Nothobranchius furzeri: one gene and its partners. The protein of the gene in region 3 interacts with the protein of the main gene of each other region in a pairwise test. Links are inferred from orthologs where the notes say so. Each region holds a gene or a part of one and is shown on either strand. Other genes may lie near its edges.

The links.
Region 1: the proteins of zcchc10 (region 3) and tfcp2 interact in binary tests that used the Homo sapiens proteins (3 or more experiments, as listed by UniProt). The two-hybrid records come from large-scale screens. The link is inferred for Nothobranchius furzeri from reciprocal best matches to the Homo sapiens genes ZCCHC10 and TFCP2.
Region 2: the proteins of zcchc10 (region 3) and stac3 interact in binary tests that used the Homo sapiens proteins (3 or more experiments, as listed by UniProt). The two-hybrid records come from large-scale screens. The link is inferred for Nothobranchius furzeri from reciprocal best matches to the Homo sapiens genes ZCCHC10 and STAC3.

The regions. Positions count from the first base shown.
Region 1 is NC_091755.1:37,312,309-37,320,089, reverse strand, and holds the start of tfcp2 (transcription factor CP2), read right to left. Parts: upstream 5,462-7,781; 5' UTR 5,235-5,461; intron 4,969-5,234; 5' UTR 4,903-4,968; coding exon 4,781-4,902; intron 3,923-4,780; coding exon 3,771-3,922; intron 3,314-3,770; coding exon 3,237-3,313; intron 3,151-3,236; coding exon 3,045-3,150; intron 2,892-3,044; coding exon 2,785-2,891; intron 1,536-2,784; coding exon 1,383-1,535; intron 1,300-1,382; coding exon 1,189-1,299; intron 358-1,188; coding exon 248-357; intron 148-247; coding exon 99-147; intron 1-98.
Region 2 is NC_091755.1:32,733,785-32,741,473, reverse strand, and holds stac3 (SH3 and cysteine-rich domain-containing protein 3), read right to left. Parts: upstream 5,366-7,689; 5' UTR 5,167-5,365; intron 4,479-5,166; 5' UTR 4,449-4,478; coding exon 4,441-4,448; intron 3,999-4,440; coding exon 3,920-3,998; intron 3,747-3,919; coding exon 3,590-3,746; intron 3,511-3,589; coding exon 3,413-3,510; intron 3,301-3,412; coding exon 3,240-3,300; intron 1,921-3,239; coding exon 1,823-1,920; intron 1,615-1,822; coding exon 1,545-1,614; intron 1,414-1,544; coding exon 1,364-1,413; intron 1,295-1,363; coding exon 1,212-1,294; intron 1,125-1,211; coding exon 1,073-1,124; intron 1,002-1,072; coding exon 864-1,001; intron 578-863; coding exon 470-577; 3' UTR 43-469; downstream 1-42. UniProt on the Homo sapiens protein: Required for normal excitation-contraction coupling in skeletal muscle and for normal muscle contraction in response to membrane depolarization. Required for normal Ca(2+) release from the sarcplasmic reticulum, which ultimately leads to muscle contraction.
Region 3 is NC_091750.1:56,825,054-56,832,834, forward strand, and holds zcchc10 (zinc finger CCHC domain-containing protein 10), read left to right. Parts: upstream 1-2,854; 5' UTR 2,855-2,939; coding exon 2,940-2,980; intron 2,981-3,687; coding exon 3,688-3,849; intron 3,850-4,408; coding exon 4,409-4,450; intron 4,451-7,109; coding exon 7,110-7,335; 3' UTR 7,336-7,752; downstream 7,753-7,781.

The DNA of each region.
Region 1 (7,781 bases), on a different chromosome or scaffold from region 3:
TAAAATAGCCTATTTAATTGTGTATAACAGCAGAGGGTAGTCTGCTTTAAATGTGTGTAACTAATATGAGGCTAATGGTGGGTAGAGTCTGGACTTACATCTGCTACCTGGACAACAGGCTCGGGCTGGTGGCTTGGAGATCCGTTTCTAGAGAAGATGACAAATAAGACAAGTAGATGAAATGTTTAATGAAACCTAAATAACTGGTTTTTAGCCATATCCATGTGAATCTGAATGCTGCAGCCACCTAGTTTCTGCGCAGTCGTACCCTTCGGCAACTGGAAAGCTGTTATGTGAACTATTAAAGCCAGGAGACGGAGAATTGTTGACATAAGTGACCTCAGGCCAAGGAGAACACTGCAACAGACCAAAGCTTCAGTTACGACACACAATAATGACATCACACACCCTTCTCTAGTAAAAGCTTCACTTTACACTAAATGACCTGAACTTAACAAAAGCACAATTACTGTCAGCTCTAACTGGTCCTTTGAGAAATGCAACCGATTTCAGGCCACACCATTTTAGTTTGAATTATTATGGAAAAAAATCTCGGATAAAACGACAATGCTGGGTTGTTTTAATGAAGTTTTTTACATCTGGTTACGTTTAGTCAGACTAACAGTCAGGTATGAGAATAACAGCTTAGTGAAATCAAACCAGTTTGAATATTAACAAATGATTTTACTGAATTATCAAACAAAATTGATTTACTGATATTTTAGAGGACTGGGACACAGCGGACCATACATAATAAAGCAAATCTTCATCAGAGCAGGACTGTCTGAACATATGACATAATTCAGATCCCAGTATGTACTGGTATTGGTCCTAGAGGTGTTCCTGAGGGACCAGCTCCAAGGACCATCTCTGTATTAAATCACATTGGTAGATTTAGTTTGTAGTGGGATGTATCCTTCTGCATCTACATCTAATGAGGCTCTCTGTCAGAGGCACTGCACACTGTGTGATTTAAAAGGCTTCTCAATGCCAACGATGCTAAATGTTTGATGGTTTTTTTGTAAGTGCAAAAATGGCCGCTCCTTAATTAGCTAGTTACTATAACAACTGGAAGTTTTGTATTTATCATTATAGTTGTAGACATTTCACACATGAGCTGCTTACACCAGTAAAATACCAAGTGAATGAGGCCGATCGAAGCTTACGGCACCTTCAGAGAAAGCGTACCTCCGTTAGAATTGTAGTTTCGTAGGAAGACTGGTACTTTTCCTTTTCCTGCGGGGCTCTCTTCTCCATCTTCTCTCTGTCCGTTTTCTGTTTCCTGTCTGCACCTTTGGGCTGAAACGGTTCACACAGAGAAAATTAAATCCTCGGTTGTGAACACTCCCAACGTCTGGTTTCATGCTTTCTTTCATCCTAACCTTGAAGACTTTGACTTGGCAGGAGGCTGAGTGCAGATGCTCCGTGTATTCTCCGTTCTCATTCTCTTTAAAAGTGTCAATCTGGATGCGGAACGGGACGCCTTTCTCTCCCCCGTGCTTACGCATGGTGAACTCTGTACTGATGCAGTGAACCTAGAAATAGGGGAATATTGGCTTAAATCCGACAAATTTTTTAAGCGTAACCAATAAAAAATGATGTTTTGTAAAACCATGTTCTGACTAGGGATGTGTATTTTTGAAATTCTGACGATACGATACATATCACGATACAGGGGAGATGATACAATGTATCCCGATATATTGCGATACATTTAGTCAGACGTTACAAGCAATTTTTTTACTGAATTTATTGTAAGAATGTTCAATAAACAGTCCAAACTGATACGTAACATGTTTAACATGAGGTATCTGCACCATGATGGAGGGATTTACATTTCAGTGGTGGAAACAAAACCTGTCGCACACTGCTGCCAACTAGCGGGTGGCGACTGAATTGCGCAAAACGAAAAGAAAATACACAAATGTTTGGGTGTAAATTCTTTCAGGAATTAGATCCGCGACTTTTGAATATTGATGTAATAATCGCAAGAAAAAATATCATGATATTTGCCATATCGATATTTCCGATACACGGCTTTTGAATATCGATATAATATTGCTGGGAAAAATATCGCGATATATTGCCATATCGATATTTTCTTACATCCCTAGTTCTGACTAATTACGATGATCATTTCCAGCCTCAGACCCACAAAACAAATAATAATAATAATAATAATAATAATAATAATACATTGAACTTATATAGCGCTTTTCTAGACACCCAGAGACGCTATCACACACTCTCACATTCACACACTGCTAGTGATGGTAAGCTACTTGTAGCCACAGCCGCCCTGGGGAGGTCTGACAGAGGCGAGGCTGCCATTTGGCGCCGTCTGCCTCTCTGACCACCACTAACACAGGAAAGTTGGGTGAAGTGTCTTGCCCAAGGACACAGCAGCAGGATGCCCCTGGCAGGAGCTGGAATCGAACCCATGACCCTCCAATCATGAGGCAACCCGCTCTACCACCTGAGCTACTGCTGCCCCGAACAAAGAAAACAAAGATTGACATTTACCACTTGTCAGACTACACAAACCGCTTAGTTGCCAAATAACAGAGGGTTTACAGTAAAGGTCCTTTTATGACAACTAGTTTCTGTAAGTTTTGGAAGTAAACTAAAGATGTAAACTCTCCTGTGGTAGCTTGGACCAGACTATTCCCAAAACAGCACTAAATTGGTTAAACTCACTAAGTTACCTTTAAAAGACTAAAATCAATCAGAAGTCCAGAGAAGGAAGCGTTAGAAAGTAAAGTAAAGTTGCAACTTTGATGCTACCTGGATAAAAACAGAGGTTCTCTTTGAGGGATCCCAGAGGAACTCCACAGTGTTTAGCTGAGTGGGGTTGGCCCTGGGGTCGATCATACCCACTGACATGGGGATATCTGCAATGATCCAAAAGTTCTTGTTTGAGCACCAAATTTATCACCAATGTTGTTAATAAACATGCTTTTATCATAAAACCAGCCAATGGTGAACGTGCAGATCATTCTTTTAAAAGTCCAGATGAAAACGGCCGTTTTCTCCACGGGGCTCACCCAGGTCAAGGATCCGGTCTCCAGGCCTGTTCCAGCGCCAGCCCTCCAGCTGCTGGTGCTCCGTGTACTGAAGCCGCCGATCGTGAAACACCACGCGGATAATACTCTGAAACGAGTATACACACATATGTGATATACATGATTTAGTCCAGCAATCATTAAACAACAGAAACACACTGAAATAACTCCCACCTTGACCATTTTACCAGTGATTTCAGGAAGTTCCCCAATTTTCTGATTGTCAAGCATTCTTATTTCATAGGACTGCCCTGCATTAGCAGAGAGAAACAACTTCAAATTAAGATCCCGCCTCCAAGAGGGCCGTCACACACCGCGGACACACTCCTCAGTCATGCAAGGCATGCATCTTTATGTTATCAAGCACAACTACATAGCTATTTATAAAAGAACATAATCTGTAAAAAGAATAATGTGGTAAACATTCAGATGCTCTATTCTAACTTACTGACTGCTTTGCTCATATACATTAAAGCCAGTTTCTATTACTTTCAGTTTATTGTTTCACTGTTAAAACTAACTTAAATCAAAGGGAAACAAAATTTTACATAAATCCATTCAGGCAAGAAAAAAAAAGAAATAAGTTGATTTAATTGTCTGATCAATCCTAAACAGAATGACATGTGAGGATCTGAACCTCTCCTCTCTTGGACCTTGACTTTACACAAAGTCAAAAAAACGTAGCAAGGTGAGGATCCTGATACTGACCTTGGTTGAGGTAGGTGAGGGTTTCATCGTGTAGCTTAATAGCAGGTGAGGTAGGTGCACACAGAACATACTGAAAAGGGAGGATCTTGTTTTCAGAATCTGGAGGCAAGTTGGATTCTTCCTGCTTGAAAATGGGGAGGGCGAGCACGTCGCTGGAGAAGAGAGCAGTAAAAAAAGTGCTGCCTGTGAGCTGCTAAAATCTTTTCACTTCAGTGAGAAACATTCAACTCTTTAAATTCAAGAAAGCTTTAGACAACCAAATCCCCCTTTTTCTGCTTGTTTGATGACCTTCACTAACACAACACACTGTGCTGCTCATTCACTATAATGGAGGGAATACAACTAAATACCAATGTCTCCAGTGCTCATGTCAGAGCTCCCCTCAACACAGGAATTTCTCCAGTGACCAGACACGTTTCATAGCTCTTAATAAACCACAAAAAACACATCTGTCTCCAGAAAAGGAGTTAATTCACTCTCATAAACATAAGATACACCACATCATCAGCTTTGCTAATGTTTTGAGAGATCCTGCAGTTAGAATAAATCAGTTCCATCGTAATCGAACCAAACAGTGAACGCGTACAGCTATTCATTTGTTCTGTAGATGTATGTGCACATCTGTGATTCATAGCAATTTAATAATGTGTGAGCAATTTTAGCTGATCCAGGTTTTAAGATGCCCCTCGTCTAAAAATATTGTCCAGTGGCACAAAGAAAAAGAGCTCAACACAAAAGTAAAGGTCAGAGTCAGGGTAAGAGAAGGCTGATATTCAAACGTACAGCTGAAGAATCCATTTCAATCCTAAACGTATGGACTAAAGCTTACACAAACAAGTAAATGTCAGAAAGAATGCAAAAACCTACACGTTAACCTGAAAGATTTTTATTATTCACTTGATATCAACAATGGCAATAAATTAATAGGCTAAAATTTAGTTAGAGCATCCAGATTAGCAGAGCGCACGTTAATTCCCTCCACAAGGAGAAACAACAAACTCAGGGTGTACCTCATACTGTAGGCTCCGGCACCAAGTTCCTGGCCGATACCAGAGAGACTGGCATCAAAGTCTTGGGCCAGCCCGGACTCGATCACCTCATCCGTGAGGGGCAGCTTCAGAGCCCACGCCATGACGGTGACGCTGTGGAGGTTTTACCGAGTACCGCTGCTCACCTGCTCCTCACAACCTTCAGAGGACTCGAGGGCAAGGTGGGGGGAAAGAAAGATTACTCACAAGTGAACCCCGACACCAACACCGTAAAAAAGTTTCGTTTTACTCAGTAAAATAAATTTCAGACAGAAACTAGTTAAGTTGATTAACTAAGAGCGGTCGGAAATGGGTTTTACAATAAACACGTTTTTTATCTCCCATCTTAAAATTCAGCGAACTTGTGTAAAAATGTATGCAGATTTTTAGTAACGTTTTTGTTACTAACGTGCTCCGATTAGATATTCAAGCTTACCTTTAGAAGATGAGTTTTTCTGTCGTAACAGCGCCGCGGTTTCATGCCATCATGTCGCGCGCTATTTGGCCGAAAGAACTAAAATAAACATCTCTAGCTAACGGCTTGGGTACAGAGGATGCTAGTCCGTATTTACTTTACTACAGTTTCAGGGTTTTATTCAAACCATTTATTCTCTACGTAACGTAGCTATGGACCCAAAGCCCAAGACAGATCTTTATATTCGCTATATATTGCTTCGTTTTGTTTATTAAGCTTCGTCGAAAGGGAGAAACAGTAATTTCCGGTTTTCACTCTTCTTCGTCGCGATCTAAACCGGAAGTGCTCATTACTGCCACCTACCAGTGGTTTTTTTGTATGTTTTATTATTAATTTTTTTTTATTTAATTTTTTTTTTTACCTTATTTTCAATCTGCGATTTCACATACATTCAGTTTACAATGTAACCTACATTCAACGTACTGAAGAATATAGAAAATACAAATGACCTCACTTGAGGAAAATAAAAATTTCATTTAGAACTTGCAACAATTACCACATGACACTATACCATAAAATAAATTATGATGCAAGATAATAATAATTAAAATAAAAATAACATATCAACAAACAAAAAAATGTTCAGAGGTTGATATTTCAACATTATATTTCAAACATGTTTGATTCATTGGACTGTAATTTAAACAACAAGAAACTCAGACATTGTTTCGTACAACTCAGTTATAGATTGGCTATTTTCTGATAATACTTTTAGAGATGTTTTAAATTGTTTTATTTCATTTTTAAAATGGTTAATGTTAGACTTGCTGTTTTTCCATTCAGTTTTATGTATATGGTATTTTCCCATGTTGAAAATAATGTTCACCATTTTGGATATCTTTTTTGGAAGAGCATCCATGTATATCAACACTTTAGATTTGTTAAGCCACACATCATTTCTCTCAATATTTAATAATCGATAAACATCCTCCCAAAAACCAATTGTTACTGAACACGAGAAGAAAATGTGCTCAATAGTTTCACATTCTGTCATACAAAAGACACACTGATTCCCTTCAAAATTAAATCTTTTTTCTTAATGTTTCGGCAGCAGGATAGATATTATGTATTATTTTGAATTTAATTTCTTTCAACTTGGGTGCAATTGGCCATTTAAGATAGCTGCACTATGGCTTTGTTAATGTAGTTTCCTTTCCTGTGATTTTTATTGTTGTTGATTTTTCAATATCATAGAATAACTTATTTTTAACATACTTCCAAGTACTTTGTTATTACATTTTTGTTCACCTAATTTAAATTTGCCAATTTTCAACTCAGGAAGTTTAATCACCACATTCGAATTAAGCAAGGTATTTTTAATCATGAATTTTAAAGGAAGTGGAACAGCTCTACTGATTTGATTATTAAATTTTAAAATTAAATTTTTCGACAAAACATTCAAATTGTAACAAATTGCCATTTTTATCTATCAAATCTGTCACATGTAAAATGTTTTTGTCATACCATTCTTTTTTGAATATAGTCTTCCTATTAATTACAATGGTTCTATTATTCCACAAGGTAGAGCTATGTGGTGTAAAGTTGTGGCTGAATATCATTTTCCATTAGAGCAGTATTTGTTTATGGAAGTCAGATAGTTTGATTGGTAATTTAGATATGTCAAAGTCACATTTTAACAGGAATTCTAATCCTCCAACCTTTTGGAAATATATATTTTGGTGTGTGGAACCACATAGAATGTGGTTGTATTAAAACAGCTTTTATCCAATTCCATGCTGTAGTTCTTTTTTAAAACACAGAGCAGTTTTTGTTTACCTGTTTTCCCACTACGTTTCGTTTGCGGCTGCAAACTTCCTCAGCCGCAAACAAAACGTAGCGGGAAAACAGGTAAACAAAAACTGCTATGTGTTTTAAAAAAGAACTACAGCATGGAATTAAGAGATACGACACAGCAAGAACACACCTAAGAAGCTTTTATCCAGTTTAGCTTAAGTACACCAATCATGGCTTCAAAATCAGCAGCCTTTAACCCAACTCATTTTGGGGGATCTAGTAGAGCGTGTAGACAACATCAAATTCCTGGGCATCCACATCACCTCAGATCCAACCTGGTCACTAAACGCTTCCTTTCTGGTAAAGAAGGCCCAACAAAGACTCTTCTACCTTAGGAAACTGAAGGGAGCCGGTCTCTCCCCCCAACTGCTTAAGAACTTCTACAGAGCCATGGTTGAGAGCATCCTATCACTCAGTATGACGGTGTGGTATGGGAGCTGTACCGTCCAGAACAAAAAGGACCTGGCCAGGGTGGTGAAAACTGCTCAGTGGATCGTGGGGAGCCCGCTACCAGATCTGGACTCAGTATATACCATCCGACTACAAAGGAAGGCTAACCGTATCGCTGCTGATTCCTTCCATCCAGGTCACAAACTGTTTATGCCGCTACCGTCCAGGAAATGTTACAGGAATATCAAGGCCACAAACACCAGGCTGAGGAACAGCTTCTTCCAAAGAGCTGTTAAAGCCATCTGCCCCCCTCCCACCCCACCC
Region 2 (7,689 bases), on a different chromosome or scaffold from region 3:
ACAAATAATGTTATCCAGCAAAAGAAATCATTACATTTAGTGTCATTTTTGCAGACTTGCCAGTTCTTTTTTATTTTTTTACTATTTTCTGCAAAACAGACAATTTCAATTTCTTTTACTTTTGCAAAACACAATTTTAATCCTTGTTGTTCATCCACTCCACATGAAATGTCTTTAAACATCAAACCTTGATTGTTGTAAGAAAAGATGCTTCGTGAATGTCGGAGCAGCTCCAGATTGTGAATGAATAAATTCTATTACAACGTTACAATTTTATTTAAAATATTAATAAAACTATTAAAAATCATCACCCTGTGTGTCAAAGGCAAAAAATTAATTTCACAGCAAAAACACAACAGGTAACTTATAATTTTTAGGTAACAAACATGAATCTTTTGACCAGGTGTGTCCAGGTGTCTGACCACTTAAAATGTGTTTCAGCCATTTATGTTGTTGCATATTTAGGTGTTTATGTCACAGTTATCTCCTCAAGCAGATCAGCAGGAAAGTAGCCCAGCTTGCGTCCTGTGCTGACCTTCAAATATCCTCCTTTCTCATCACCTTTTTTCACCACAATCTGGAAGAGAGTGACAGCAGAGCAGCATGACACCAGTGTTGATTTCAAACATCTGTAAGTGGAAGATGCATTTTGTTGCCTCATATGGAGAATTTTAGCATTTAGACAATTTTATTAGCATTTTTTAGCCTTGATTGGGTTCATTAAAGTCATTTCATTGGATGTCTTCAACAAAATACAGAAATAAGTTTAGTGGTACATTCTTCACCCAACTTGTCATTTAAAAGCAAAACAAATCCAACAAAACTGATTCGACGTGTGTTGTTGAGTATATTTAGAAGGTCACCTGATCTTTCTTGAGCGTAATTTGTCCCATTTCTCTGTTGCCAACAAAGGAGCGGGTCACCTTGTAGACTCTCTCTGATGCTCGTACTTTTATGAGGTAGTTGGCAGGGAAGTAGCCCGTCTTCTCCCCCATCTTTCCCTGATAATCCGACAGTTTGAGTTAATCTTCTGCCGGGACACGTATGGAATCAGCGTGTTTCCGTAACTCACCCTCCACCACTCTTCATTGGAGTCATCCAGCACTATGATCCGATCACCAGGGCTAATAAACAGACACATCATGTTTGTTTGAGACACATTCAAGACAAAGGCTTTGTTTTATGATGTCATTTCTATCCTTTAATCCTACTGGAAGTCAAGATCGTCTTTCTCGATTGCCTTGAAGCGGTAGAGAGCCAGGTAGTAGTGGGACCCGGTAAATGTTCCCTTACTCTGTTGACAAAAATGACAGATTATGGAGATTTTAAACAAAATGCATCCTTATGAAATGTTTGCTTTGACCTTCTCGTCTGCTTTGTCTCCTCCTTTTTCTTTCTTATCCTCGGGTTTTCCTGTGCGAACAGTCACCAAGTCCGTTCGTGAAACTTATTAACAGCCATCATTTTTCTTTGCAGAAAACTAATTTCATAGATTTATGCCTAATAGCAATTATTGTGTAATTTACCAAGGTACATTTTCTTACCTTCTCCTGCTTCCTCACTCTCTTTGGGCTGCTGGTTCTCCTCCTCTTCCTCTTCCATCATCATCATCATCTAAAGCACATATAAGTGAATAAATGTTGTGATTTATTGACAATATTCTGAAGTTACCTAAAGTCATTTTGAGCAGTGCATCTGCTTTAATCAATTATTTTTCAAATGTGTGCTTTCATACCTTTGTTGGGTTTGTTTTACACAATGATGTGTTTCTGAAATGTGTTTTATTGTGTTTTTATTGATGAAACTCATCGTAAATACTCACATTTTTCTTGTCATTTTCATTCTTTTTGCGCTCCTTGTTCGCCATGATGACACCAACTCTCAGTGTGTCAAAGACTGGGTCGTTTCGGTTTGGGTTGTCTGGTGTCGGATGGAAAATTTTGGCCAGAAAATATCAGCACTTTCAATTATAAAGCTTTATTTAATGAATAATCTGTAGAAAATGCTATAGTCCAGGCATTACAAACATTAGATTTTTTTATCTCAAATTTTTAGGGATGCACTGATACAAAAAATGGGCTAATATTAAATGGCTATTATTAGACCATGCTGAAGAATTTGATGTTTAATATGTACATGGCATGTAAAAGTTGTGTCATTAAAAGAGTGAAAATCAACTCATTATTTCTGATATTACATTTTAAAGGTGCACTATGTAAAAATATAGTGAAAAATCTACAGTGAGAAAATCCAAAAAGTGTTGGTCATTTTAGAAGGAAGGTTATATTTAAACACATTTCATATCCAGCTGGCTGTGAGGATTGTCAGTTCATCTCATTTCAAAACAAAGGAAAGATGGACGTAACTAGTGTTTACTACCAGTGAGTGTTGTCATGATCCGCCCCGGCCTCCCTGACTGTGTCTCTCCTGCCCTGATTAGCCTTATTGTTCTCACCTGTCCCTCATTACTCTGCCCATGTGTTCCTGATTCCCTTGTGTATTTATACCTCCCTCCTTGTTGCTGTCTTTGTCGGTTCATTGTCGTTTGTGCATGTTCGTTCGTCCTGTTGCTCCCAGTCTACGATTAAACATCTTTTAATTTTTTCATCCGTTGCCTGCTCATCTGCCTCCTGAAACCCACCACCCGCAGAACATGACAAGTGTGGGGTTGTTGTGTCTCCTGCGAGCTAATACTGCAGCGCCGATAGTTGTAATTTGACTACGGCCGGCAAAAAGCTCCAGAGTTGTTTAAAGTGATTGCAGCAACCAGATTTTACCACAGATTGTCATATTTACTTCATTTCTACATAATGCACCTTAAATGCCAACATTAGCTGTTAGTAACGGACATCCCTAAAATATAATTACACCTTTGTAAGGAAGATTTTTCAACATTGGGCACTTCTAACCATTATAAATTGTAGATTGCTCTCAATGATTGATTGATTGACTGATTGACATGATTAAAAATTCACTGCATGACCATCTCTCTCCAAGATACAACAATAGCAACTAGATGGAAGAAAGTATCAGCCAAGTTTTACTTATTGGACCGATACACAGATAAAAAACAAACATCAGCCGATATGATGTTGATGTCGATATTTCCGACCTCCCTACTAATTTTACACATCTGCTTAAAAGAATTCACCGTAAAATTTAATTATTTTACTCTGATTTAGCAGTAATAAATAAAGGATTACTAATTCTAGGAGTGATTGAAGGTTTGATGGACTCACTTGGATCTGGGATGTCGCTGCTGTACAGAGGAGAACTATAGGCTCTTCTAAAGCCAGGTGGCTACAAGACAAAGAAAAAAAAAGAAAAAATTTCAACTAAAACCTTCCATTTAGTCCTGTAGTGCTTTTTTAGACATTTAAATTCAAATGTGTGTGAGAGAGAGAAAACTCACGATTTTTCCAAAGCACTTCTGGAACTCGACATAGGACTGACACGAATGGTGGATGTTGGTCTTGCAGTTTTTACACCTCAGACAAAATTTGTTGTTCACTAAGAGATGTGCAAAGTTAACCGAATCATCATAAATCTCAAAATATGTCTCGTGATATTTTCTGGGTTAAACACGTACAGACTATCATGCGAGCGCAGACGTCACAGAACTTGGGTTTCTTGCAGTAATGGTCCTTAAACTTGTGAGGTTTGTCATTGATCCGAACAATGGGCTCGGAAGGAGGTTCTGGTTCCTTCTCCTCTACCTCCACCTCCTCCTCATAAATAAAATAGACCTGCAAGCAAAGACGAAGAAGAGAACAGTTCCATACAGGTGATCAGGACTTATTTATTAACTCATGAGATATAAACAAACACCATATTGCAGTCCCGTCCCAGCTGGAGGCTATTTTAATCAGCCTGAGAACGGCTGCTAATAGCGAGTGGTTGACGTGGTGCTGCCACTCACCGTGTCTCCTTCCTCCCTCACTACATTGTCAGGGGCTGGAGGATTGTCGTGGATGTCCACGGAGTTTTTGTCATCCTCTCTAAGAAGCACAAAGAGAAAGATGAAGACCAACTGAAGCCACCTGCCATGACTGTGGTGTAAAAACGTATCGCAGAGGGAACATCTGGATCATGTGAGGAGATTTATCAGCAAACGTTAATGTGAAAACTGCTCAAAGTTTGAAGGACATTTTTTTTTACATCGCACCTTTTCCCATCATGCACAAACATCAACCAGCTGGTGATAGGGCTCCAGGATCCAGACCAGTTACATATAAATCCAAACACACACCTTTTTGATGAGTGAACTCTTAAACCAGGAACATTGAGGAGAACCATGATGTGCTTCAACAAGATTCCCCGTTCATCACCTCAAACAAACCTGATTTTAGTCGCACTGGTAAATTTAGAGCTCAGATTTTATTTAGTGAAACCCACAGAGATGTTAGAAACATGCAGCACATGGACATGAACTGTACTCACTGATCCATGGAGTGCTGGAAATATCAGTATACTGCACCCTTAAAAGAAATCATGTACATTTTACTGTCTGTCTTTTCTCAAGATGCACTTGCAGTTTGTCAGTAGCTCGTTTTTCCTAAATGCAAAACAAGGCCACATCTTTTGGATTGCATGTTTCTTTTCTGATTTGCCTACATTTTGAAGGACTTGTTTGTTTTTAAGCACCAAACACGTTCCTGGATGACAAGGGAAATTGTTGCTATAGTTGAAATTCACTATTTCAGACAAGGATCTGGTCAAATTATTAACTATAAAGCAAGCAGAGACATAAAACATGTCTTTAGTCTCTCTCTGTGTGACATTCGGAGCTAATACCTTGTAGCAAACAGTGGTAAAGAGCATTTGTCATCCTGACCTGCTCTATTCTTGGTTTTTGAAATTTGATCTGAAAACTAAATTTAGGAACTGCTGCATGTCAGGAAAATATTCCAGACAGCATAAAAGAATTTCAGGAAAAATGAGTAAATAACGGGCTAAATGGATGTAGCATTCACACAACGTTCCTACAAAACGATTCCATTAGGCATTTTTGCTACTTGAGACATAATTAAAAATTACACATAAACTTCACCATCACTTACCAAGTTATTAGAGGTTACACAGAAAAGGTAAATAAAAAAATGCTTCCCTTCACCTGCTAGATTTTTCTGAAGTGTTATGTGGCCATTGAAGCAGAGTTTGACTTACCAACTGACCAAAATGCTCCCTCACTTTTCAGCACTTCTGGATCCAGTACTGTATGGTCCCTCTGTGTTTCCTTCAGGTTATTCCCACACTGGGCGTGAATGCTGAGTGCGACCCAGATATTTATTAAAGCTGTAAGTTTGTGTATCTATGGGTGTAATTGTGAGCATGACAGGCTGAGCACTGCTTTGTGACGTTGACAGTTTGCAACAGCTGAAGGACCTCAAACTAAGCACCAGTGACGATGAGAAATCAGATATGTTCTCTACACACACACACACACACACACACACACACACACACACACACACACACACACACACACACACACACACACATACACACACACACACACACACACACACACACACACACACGCACGCACGCACGCACGCACGCACACACACACAAAGGTATCTGTCCTGCTCATGGGCCTGTATCCCTCCATTCTTTTGGGAGACCAAGGAGAAACAACAAAAATGACTACATCTCTTTCAAAGTTGTAAAAACTATTTTATTTATATATATGTTCAAGTTGTTCTGAATGCTAGTAGATGCTGCAAAAGCTGGATAAATACATAAAAGAAACATTGATTTTTAAACAATAACTGCCATGTAACTCAACCACTCTAGCAAGCATCTTTATTCGTTGTTTTATTTCATTTGTAACAAATAATCCTATAAAGTTTTTCCTCTGTTTATATACAAAATATTTTTGAGCTGTCAGCCCAGTATTAACTCCAACTCAGAATACTTTTTTACAAAGGTGTATTTTGTTGATGTAGAGGTTAAAACGTTGTACACAAATATAATACATTTATTTGTTTGTGTATTTATTAGTTGTTTACGGAATATTATTCTGTTATGTCCTGTCCACCAAACAGCGCCCCCTGTGGATTGACGTCTGACTGGAACACTACAAATGTCTCGTTGCATGTTGGGTACAATATTCCTTACGTGCTCAGTGCGCCTGCGCAAAACAAAACTCCATTATTTTTTTCTCGGAATTTGTAAGAAAAAAACAGAGGGTAACTGTGAATTGGGGATTACACGGGTCGTTATGTTTGTCGGAATACCATTGAATGCTATGCGGATTAGCAGAAGAAAGACCAAAGCGACGGCTGGATAGGTGTGGAGCGGGAACGGGACATCCCTCTGTCTTTGTGGGACACTCTAGAACAAGTAAATATCACTGAGTTAGCCCCTCCAGTTAGCCTAGCTGGGAACGCTAGCCTCCAGAAGAACCCAGGCGTAGTAAAATGAAGCGTTATTGCCCCCTTTGTTTTTAAGTCCGACTGGAAGACGTTGACTAACATTTGAGTGCTGACTCGCCGTGCCAGTTCGTGATTTGGATTATGTAATGATTCGTTTTAGTTATTAGAGTGTTGATCGTTTTCTACGTATTTTATTTAGTATTAATTTAGTAGTCCTAACTAGCTAACTCTTGATTTTCCAGCGAACGAAAAAGAGCGAAGACTTCTAAACTTGGTGGTCAACACATAGCTTGACGCAGAGAAAGATTGTTCACAACATGTTGACGTTAGCTAACAAATATTTGTTAATAAGTGAAATGTGTGGATAAGTTTCATGAAGGTTTTTAGCTAAACAATGTCGTGCAACGCTCGTTTCTTGTACCCGTAGCTAAGACACTAGAGTTTTGCATCGGGAGTGTTTAGTGCTCCTGACAGCTGTCACGACAACAGAGTACCAAGTGGATTTAGCCTGTTAGCTTAGCTGTTAGCTTACACGTTAGCTGCAATATTTATACCGTAATGTTGTTAAACGCATGCATTTAGACGTTTTTCAGACTCCGTGGGATTTAATTTAAGTCTATTTTCCATTGCTTGTTGTTTTCTGACTTTGTTTTGGGAGAGGCAACTGTTTACATTATAGCGAATCAACTACAGGCCTACCCAAACACACCCTCCTACTTCAAAAAAGCCACAGTTTGCTCTGAAGTTGAACTTTTTCTGAGGTAGCAGGGCATCCGATGTAATCTCTCCTTTTTCCAAGTGTGGTTGAATGAGATCAGTTTGAAGAAAGATTTATTGTAGCACATATTCACCGTGCTCCCCCTCTGCCAGATTACATAATCCACCTCATCCACCTTTCTCTGCAGGCTCTTCATCTAAACCACTATTCTGATGTGACCTGAACTAATAAATCTGTTGGAATCATCCAGGAAGTTGAAGGCTTTCCTCGCAGCGGAAGACATTGCAAGTATTTTGAGGAGTCAGGTTTTTTGCCGAAAGTCTGTGAGCTTCTCAGCCACCAGCATGTACATTGGACAACGGATACTGTAGCCAAAGCAGATCTTGGCTTCCCAAAGATGACAAGGTATTTAATCATGCTGTTTTTCTGTTTCCTATCGCTTTATTTTGTTAAATATATATTTCTCTGTCAGTCATGCAAAGTCTGTATTTCAGCAGTGGCCACACCCACCACATGAAAAACACTGTTTTACACTCTGCAGACAAGATTTGACTTCATCATAGGTTAAAAATCAAAGTAAATAACAATAAATCA
Region 3 (7,781 bases):
TTTTCCACAATTATTTTCATTTAAATTCTGTAAAAATCAGACAATGTGAATTTCTGGATATTTTTCTCATTTTGTCTCTCATGGTTGAGGTATACCTATGATGAAAATTACAGGCCACTCATCTTTTTAACTGGGAGAACTTGCACAACTGGAGGCTTTTCCCCATTGCTGCTTGCACCAATACCACTAGGTATTCTGTCTTCTTTTAACTTCATATGTTTTTTGTCATTATATCATTACTTGTGTTGTTGTTTGCGCCAGGGATGTGAAGAAACAGTTTTGACATTAAAGTGGAATTAAGTGAATTGGGAAGCAGAGCAGATCTCAGGATTCTCTTGTAGAACCAGCTTTCATTCATGATGCAGATGCTGTCCAGAACAAAAATAGGTCTGTTAGTCACAGTTATTCTGACTCATCCCTTCAGACCTAGACTTCTGGGAGAAAAACTGAACGCACATCTCCCTCTACATTTGCATTTAAAGCTATATGCCATTCAACTTTGTTTTCTCTGTTTAGCTTCTATAGAAACAACAACTTACCCAGCCTGTATCTCTTTCATGGGTGTTGCACCAGATGTTGCCTTGGTGACTCTGTAGGCCAGATGTAGACTCAAATTACAATATTTCAGCACTCATGGATAAAACATTTTGCTTCACATTTAAACCCTGTCTCCATCTATGACTCAACATGAAACACCATTGACTCATGTGATCAGTTACATAACGCTGTGTGTGCATCGTGCCAGCATCACACCAGCATCATGTCTGCACGCATGTAAATAAGAGTCACCAAAGAACATCTGTAGATCCATCATCAGGACCAAGTCCTAAATGATGAAGTCAATTAAATTGTGTTTAATTCAGTTTATTTATATGGCATCAAATTACAAGAAGAGTCGTCTCAAGGCACTTCACAAAGTAAACATTCTAAAGCGGTTCAGTTCATTAAGCCAATCAGTAAAAAGTTTCCTATATAAGGAACCTAGCAAATTGCATGGAGTCACTGACTGGTGTCAGTGACTTTACAGCAATCCTCATACTAAGCAAGTAGCGACAGTGGAAAACTCCCTTTTAACAAGAAAAACTTCCAGAGGATCCTGGCTCAGTAGGAATTGCCATCCGCCACGACTCACTGAGGATCGAGGAAACAGAGCAGACACCCCCCACACATACCAGGAAAAGTGCTCTTTATTTATTTATTTAGGACAGTGCATGTTAATGAACATAAATGTAAATGCAGCTTACATGAATGTAAACATGCCAGATTATAGCCAAAGGCTAATTTCCATCTGTTGTCCTTAGACATAAAAAGACATAATGATTCATGAAAATTCATCATTCATTCATAATCAAAACTCCATCACCAAACCTACGCCATTCTATTCACAAATAAAACATCAAAACTATACAACTCGTACATGATCACACACTTGATTTGTCCATAACCAGTTTTTAACATTTGCCTTTAAACAAATTGAAAGTCGAGCATTCTCTAACGGGTTGAGTGCCTGTTAAATAGTGACAGGCACCAAAGTAAAATGGTAAATGGCCTGTATTTGACATAGCACCTTCTAGAGTCCTGGAACCTCCCAAGGAGCTTGTTGTGGCCACCAGCCTGGCCTCTTCAGGTGCAGGAGCCAGGATCACCCAGCCTCGGTGATCAGCCAGGCACCGCCCCTCTTCCTCCTTTCTTCCAGGCTGCTGAGGAGCACAGCTGAGCTAAATCATCTGGTGACCTACACCTGGGATAAAAAGGCCGTGCCTTCAGCAGTCTGGGAGGCAGCAGTGCAGGGGCTAAGCTGTTATTCATGCCTCATTTTGGTTTCAACCCCTTCATTTTGATGAGTCTTAATTTTAATAGTTTTAACTCTGAGTGATCCAAAGGGATCTTTGTTTGATGTCAACTTGGTTGACTTGGTTTTAAGGTTAACGTTGTAGTTTACTGACTTTGGGATTTTAAAACACTCAGTGTTTTTCTAGTGTGTCAGATTTTACTATCAACTTGAAGATTTTGGAAACACTTTCTGTTCAGTAAAACTTTTAATATAAGTTTTAACCAGGTGTTTTTAATGTTGGTAATTGGTCTTTTAGTGTTAACCTTTTTGAGAGTTTTTTTTTTGTTTGGCATTTTTTAAACAATGCTCACCATCTGTTTGCACTTGTTTTTAGAACCTTTTATAACAATTAAACCCATTTTAAACCCACTATCATGTTTCTTGTGTTCCCCTTCCTTCACATTTTAACACCTCCTGTCGGGGACGTAACAGTGCTTTACAACACAGTCATGCTCACCCTGGTCTGGTCGATGAGCTACATTCTAGCCACAGCTGCCCTGGGGTACACTGACAGAGGCGAGGCTGTCGAGCGCTGGCGCTACTGGTCCATCCGACCACCATCAGCAAGCAAGGGGGGTTAAGTATCTTGCCCATGGACACAACAACAGCGACAGACTGAGTGGGGCTTGAACCTGCAACCTTCCGATTATGGGACGAGCACTTAACTCCTGTGCCAGTGTCACCCCATACAAAGAGTAAATACGTAGACACCTCATGGGATGGCGCTGCCTATTGGAGCTGCCGAAGTGGCCGGCTGCCATCTTAGTCTCCATTCGGCACACTACCAGAGGCGAGTCTGCCTCTGTCAGTGTGTCTGTCAGTGTAATTAAACAAAATAAATAAACAAATACAAATCTAAAATCCTATCAGGTAGGCTAGAAAAGTCACTATAGTAATCCCACATGATCTATTTACAATTGTACGCGGGTTGTTGTAACCGTGGGATGCACAAAAACGGGCATAGTTGCGTACTCTGCATTGCCTTCGGAGAATGAAGAGACCCATCCAAAATGGCGACGACACGGGTGGTTACGTATTCTTTTCACTCCTTTACATTTCCGGAAATAGGCCCTGAGCTGACACCAACGAAGAAGAGACTTCAAACATGGCGACTCCCATGCATAGAATAATAGCGAGAAGACAAGCGTGAGTAAAACATTTTTAAACTTAGCGTAGCAATATTATTTTAGTATATTTTGTGTCTACATTTGTTACGTTACCACGTGCGGTCTATAGCTGACCTACAGTTTTACATTCAGCCTGTAAAGAACGAACTTGGAGGGACGGGCATCCCGCGGCTCTACGAAGCGCTACGTTGTGTGAAACTGTACTCTTCTGAAGCTGTTATTTATTTTTATAATACCCCAGTTTAAGTAAAAAATAATTTTGTTTACATCGATGTTAATGTCAATATAGTTATAACCAATAGTCGGATCAAAGTATTGAGAAGAATCGGGACTTGGGCAGAGTTTTGATAATTTGTGATTATTGGTGGGGTTTCAGTTTCTTTGGTGGAACACCTGCGAGTTTCTGAGTTTAAAATGAAGTATTCATTACTAGTGTATTAATTATGAGATGGCTACATAAAGCTTCGTGTAGCTTCTCAACTATTTTCTTTGCCCAGAGGTTCACGTCTTCGATGCATCATTCATTGCTTATAGTGACACCTGCTGGTGGAGTTAAACTACGGCAGCCATCATTTTTTTCATAATTTATACTGGAATCATTTGTTCCATTCATTATTAATTTTAAGTAATCTGACAACAAATACATGTATGTGCAAATGTCTTACTTCTGTAGTTTATGTATTTTTTCCTGTTTGGAAGGTATTTATTTATTTTTATTGCTTACAGGGAGGCAAACAAACAAAATGTGCGTTGTCAGAAGTGCTTGGAGATGGGACACTGGACTTACGAGTGCACTGGGAAACGGAAATATTTGCACCGACCGTCAAGAACAACCGAAATGAAAAAGAAGCTGAAGGAGATAGAAAACAAACCTCTCAGCATCACAGGGTGAGTCATCTCTGACAGTTTGAAGGACAAGTCATTTACACCTGGACTTCATGTAGGGTTGGGCAATAAATCGAAAATGTATCGTTATTGAAATTTCTGACTCTTATCGATAAATGTTCCCATGTCATTAAATTTGATAATAAAAAAATGAAAAGATGTGTGTAGGTTGGCAAAATCCATGTCCCTTTAAGAAGCTGTGCAACCTTGAGTGACTTAAAAATTTGATTCAACGTAATACATGTGACAGCCCCATTTATGGACAACTTTTGTTTCTGCGCATACCAAGGTGAAATCCTCAATATATCGTGATATTGATTTTAGGCTAGATCGCCCAGCCTAACTGTGCATAAATAAACCCACAAAAAATGATAATTATAACTGAGAACTCAGTTTTTACAGTGAAATTAGATTTATAAATAATTCTTAAATTTTGACAGTGTTTCAAATGATCTCAAATAGAAGTTGAATTTGTTTAACTAAAATACATAAAAATACAAACAAATGATTTTATCAATAGTGACTGAACTATATATAATGTTGTGATTTTTCCACATCACAGACCTGGAGGAGAAGCTTCCAGTGAAAAGAAAACAAAAAAGAAGTAAGTAATCTGATAATTTACTAGGGATGTGTATTGGTGAAACTCTGATAATACGATACGTATCAAGATACAGGGGAGACAAATTCGATATATCACAATATATTGTGATACATTCAGCCAGATGATATTAGCATTTTTTTTTGACAGAATTTATTGTAGGGAAACTCAGTCCAGTCCAAACTGAAATGTAACATGTTCAATATAAGGTATCTTATAAAGAAGAAGAAAATATCATTTCTATAGCGCCTCTCAAGATAAAAATCACGAGGCGCTTCACAAAAACAAAAAATGTAAAAATATAAAAAATAATTTAGAAAATGGTTAAAAATATATTTAAAATGAGCAAAAAATAGACAATTGTGATTAAAAAAAATGTTAAGAAAGAGAGAGAGAGTGAATAGGAAAGAGGGAAATCAGTGCATCCTGAGGAAGGTGGAATAGAGAAAGGGATTTATATTTCAATGGTGGAAACAAAACCCATTGCACACTGCTGCTACCTAGTGGTCGGCGTTTGAATTGCACCAAAAGAAAAGAAAATACACAAATGTTTGCATGTAAATTCCATGTGGCTTTTAAAGATCGATACAATATTGCAGGAAAAAATATCACAATATATTGTCATATCGATATTTTCTTACATCCCTATAATTTACTATATTGAAATATTTTAAAGAAGTTTCATAGCTGTGGTGTGGTCATTTCTAGTCATTCATTTTTGGATGTAAAAGATTTTTTTATTCATAAAGATGATATTTTAATTCTTATGTTCATATTTCTCAACTTGTACCACTTTAAACAGAATTGTGACTTAACAGTTCCATCTAGTGGCAGTTGATGAGAAGTGAAACCATTTTCTTGGTTATTGTCTGTTTTTAGACAAGACTCTTAGTGAATTTACATTTGATTCTTGTTTCTTTTGTACTGTGATAGTAGAACAGCTTCACATTTTCCATCAGTTAAATTGTTGTTACAGATTAATTGGAAAGTCAATTAAAAAAGTAATTATAAAAAGATTTAAATGTATCTTAGCCTGTTTAACCCTAACGCCCCCCAATTGGGTGCCTCTACAGTTTCATGTCCCAAACATCTACAACTGTCCACGTTCTCCAAACACAACTAAAACCACAATCAAACAGCCCAGATGGGAAACAAGGCCATTTTAAATGGTAATAAATTAAGATACAACGATCTTTGAACTTTATTTTAGAAGAGCATCTGACCTTCTCTGGTGTCTGCTGGGAAAAAACCCTTGAACACATTTAGTTGAGGACCCTGGAATAAATAAAACAATTGACAACATTTCCTAAATGGAATTTGAACTCACAACCTCCATCCTGTCAGCACTTTCACACAGGGCAGCTCTTCTAACATACAGTTCAAGTATTATTTTATCTTAATGTATCAAAATCCAAAAATTACTTTGTTTACAATCTAAACAGTTTTGATAGTAGCTGTAGTTGTGCTCGGGGACTTGGGACATGGAACTCCAAAGGCCCCCAACTGGGAGGTGCCAGGGCCCAAAGAAAAAAGGCCTTGGGCCTAAAGGGTTAAAAACTGTTCAGTAAAAAGTACTTAAATTCAATTTTAATGTGTTTGCAATAAATGCTTTTTTTTTGTTGTTGCATCAACTGGTGTTTACATGTGTTTCAAATAAGCTATTATTGGCTAAAGAAGACACATAAATAAGGGTATTACTGCTAAATCTCCAATACATTTGTTTGAAAACATGTACTTTTGCAGAAAATCATCTCATATGATCTCAGAGACAGGACAGCTGCAAAGAACCAACATTTCAGACATTTTTTGTTATTTTACGAATGTGAAAATCTTTTTGTCACTATGTTTGTGCAAGATGACACCCACAGCTGCCTGTTTAACATTCCAGTAGATGTATCAATCAATCAATCAATCAAAGCTTTATTTATAAAGCGCCTTCCGCAACCCTGTCAGGAAGCCCAAAGCGCTGAACATGGTACAGTTGTAAGTAATTATACTGAATAAATCAACAATAAAAGAAATTCAAATTACAAAATACAAAATGGAAATAACAAAATAGATGAAACATTCCGGTAAAATACAAATGTGTGAAACACAATTGGATTGAGTGGATGGATTGAGTGTACCAATGAAAACTGTGGAATGGATTCAACATAATAGAGGGCCATAATCAAACATGTTCTGGAAACGCCAAGTGGAGGAGGTGTGTTTTTAGGTGATTCTTAAAGACTGGCAGAGAGGGGGACAGCCTAACTGAGGGTGGCAACTGGTTCCAGAGTAACGGTGCTAGGACTGAGAAAGCCCGGTCCCCACGGGTACGACACCTAGACCGAGGGACAGCAAGCAGGCCTTGGTCAGAGGAGCGCAGAGCGCGTGATGGGGAATGTCTGTTCAGGAGTGTGGCCAGATAGGGGGGAGCACCACCCTGGAAGAAATGATAAACAAAGACGAGGATTTTGAATTGTGAGCGATAGGAAATCGGAAGCCAGTGCAGGGAGGCCAGAACTGGACTGATGTGGTCCCGTTTCCTGGTCCCAGTCAGGAACCTGGCAGCGCTGTTCTGCACAACCTGTAGGCGACGCAGTGTTGACTGACACAACCCTGCAAACAGGTTTACATTTTACTGCTCCCATCCTGTTCTCTCCTTGTGCCGCGCTTTTAGGGCAAAAGACTCCAGCGACGACAGCAGCAATGCCGACGGCTCCTCCAGCGACTCGTCAGACAGCAGCGACTCCTCCAGCTCATCTTCAGACGATAGCAGCAGCGACAGCGACGACAGCTCCTCCTCATCTTCCTCCTCCACCTCTTCGTCATCAAACAGCTCAGACTCGGGAAGCAGCAGCGATTCAGATCAAGGGCCTCCAAAGAAGAAGAGAAAGAAGAAATGAGCATGCTGGGAAGAGTTGGCTTTCTGTTTGCATCTTATTTTTCTGCGTTATTTTCCCCAAAAAGTCCTCAAGTGTTTTATTTTTTTCAGCTGGTTTATAAGGTTTGATTTAGTTGGACAACGATGGCAGATGAACAAGAGGCTGGTTTAAGCTGTGTTGTTCTGTTTTTCTAACTTCTTGTCTCTGTTTTGTTGACTGTGGCATTTTCTCAAGTTTCTTAAAGTATTTGCAATTAAAGAGGAAACTTTTAAAAAACAAATAGAACCAATGCAATTGTTCGAATACTTTAATGTATATTTAAGCTAATCCATATAATCACAAATGTATGTAACAGCTGGTAAAGAAAGGGGAAATATTGTTCCTGTAAAGTTTGTTCCTGTAAAGTTATTTCATTTTAAATAAACTAATTTGTACTTATCAGGGCCTTTAGATTTTTGACAGCTTGT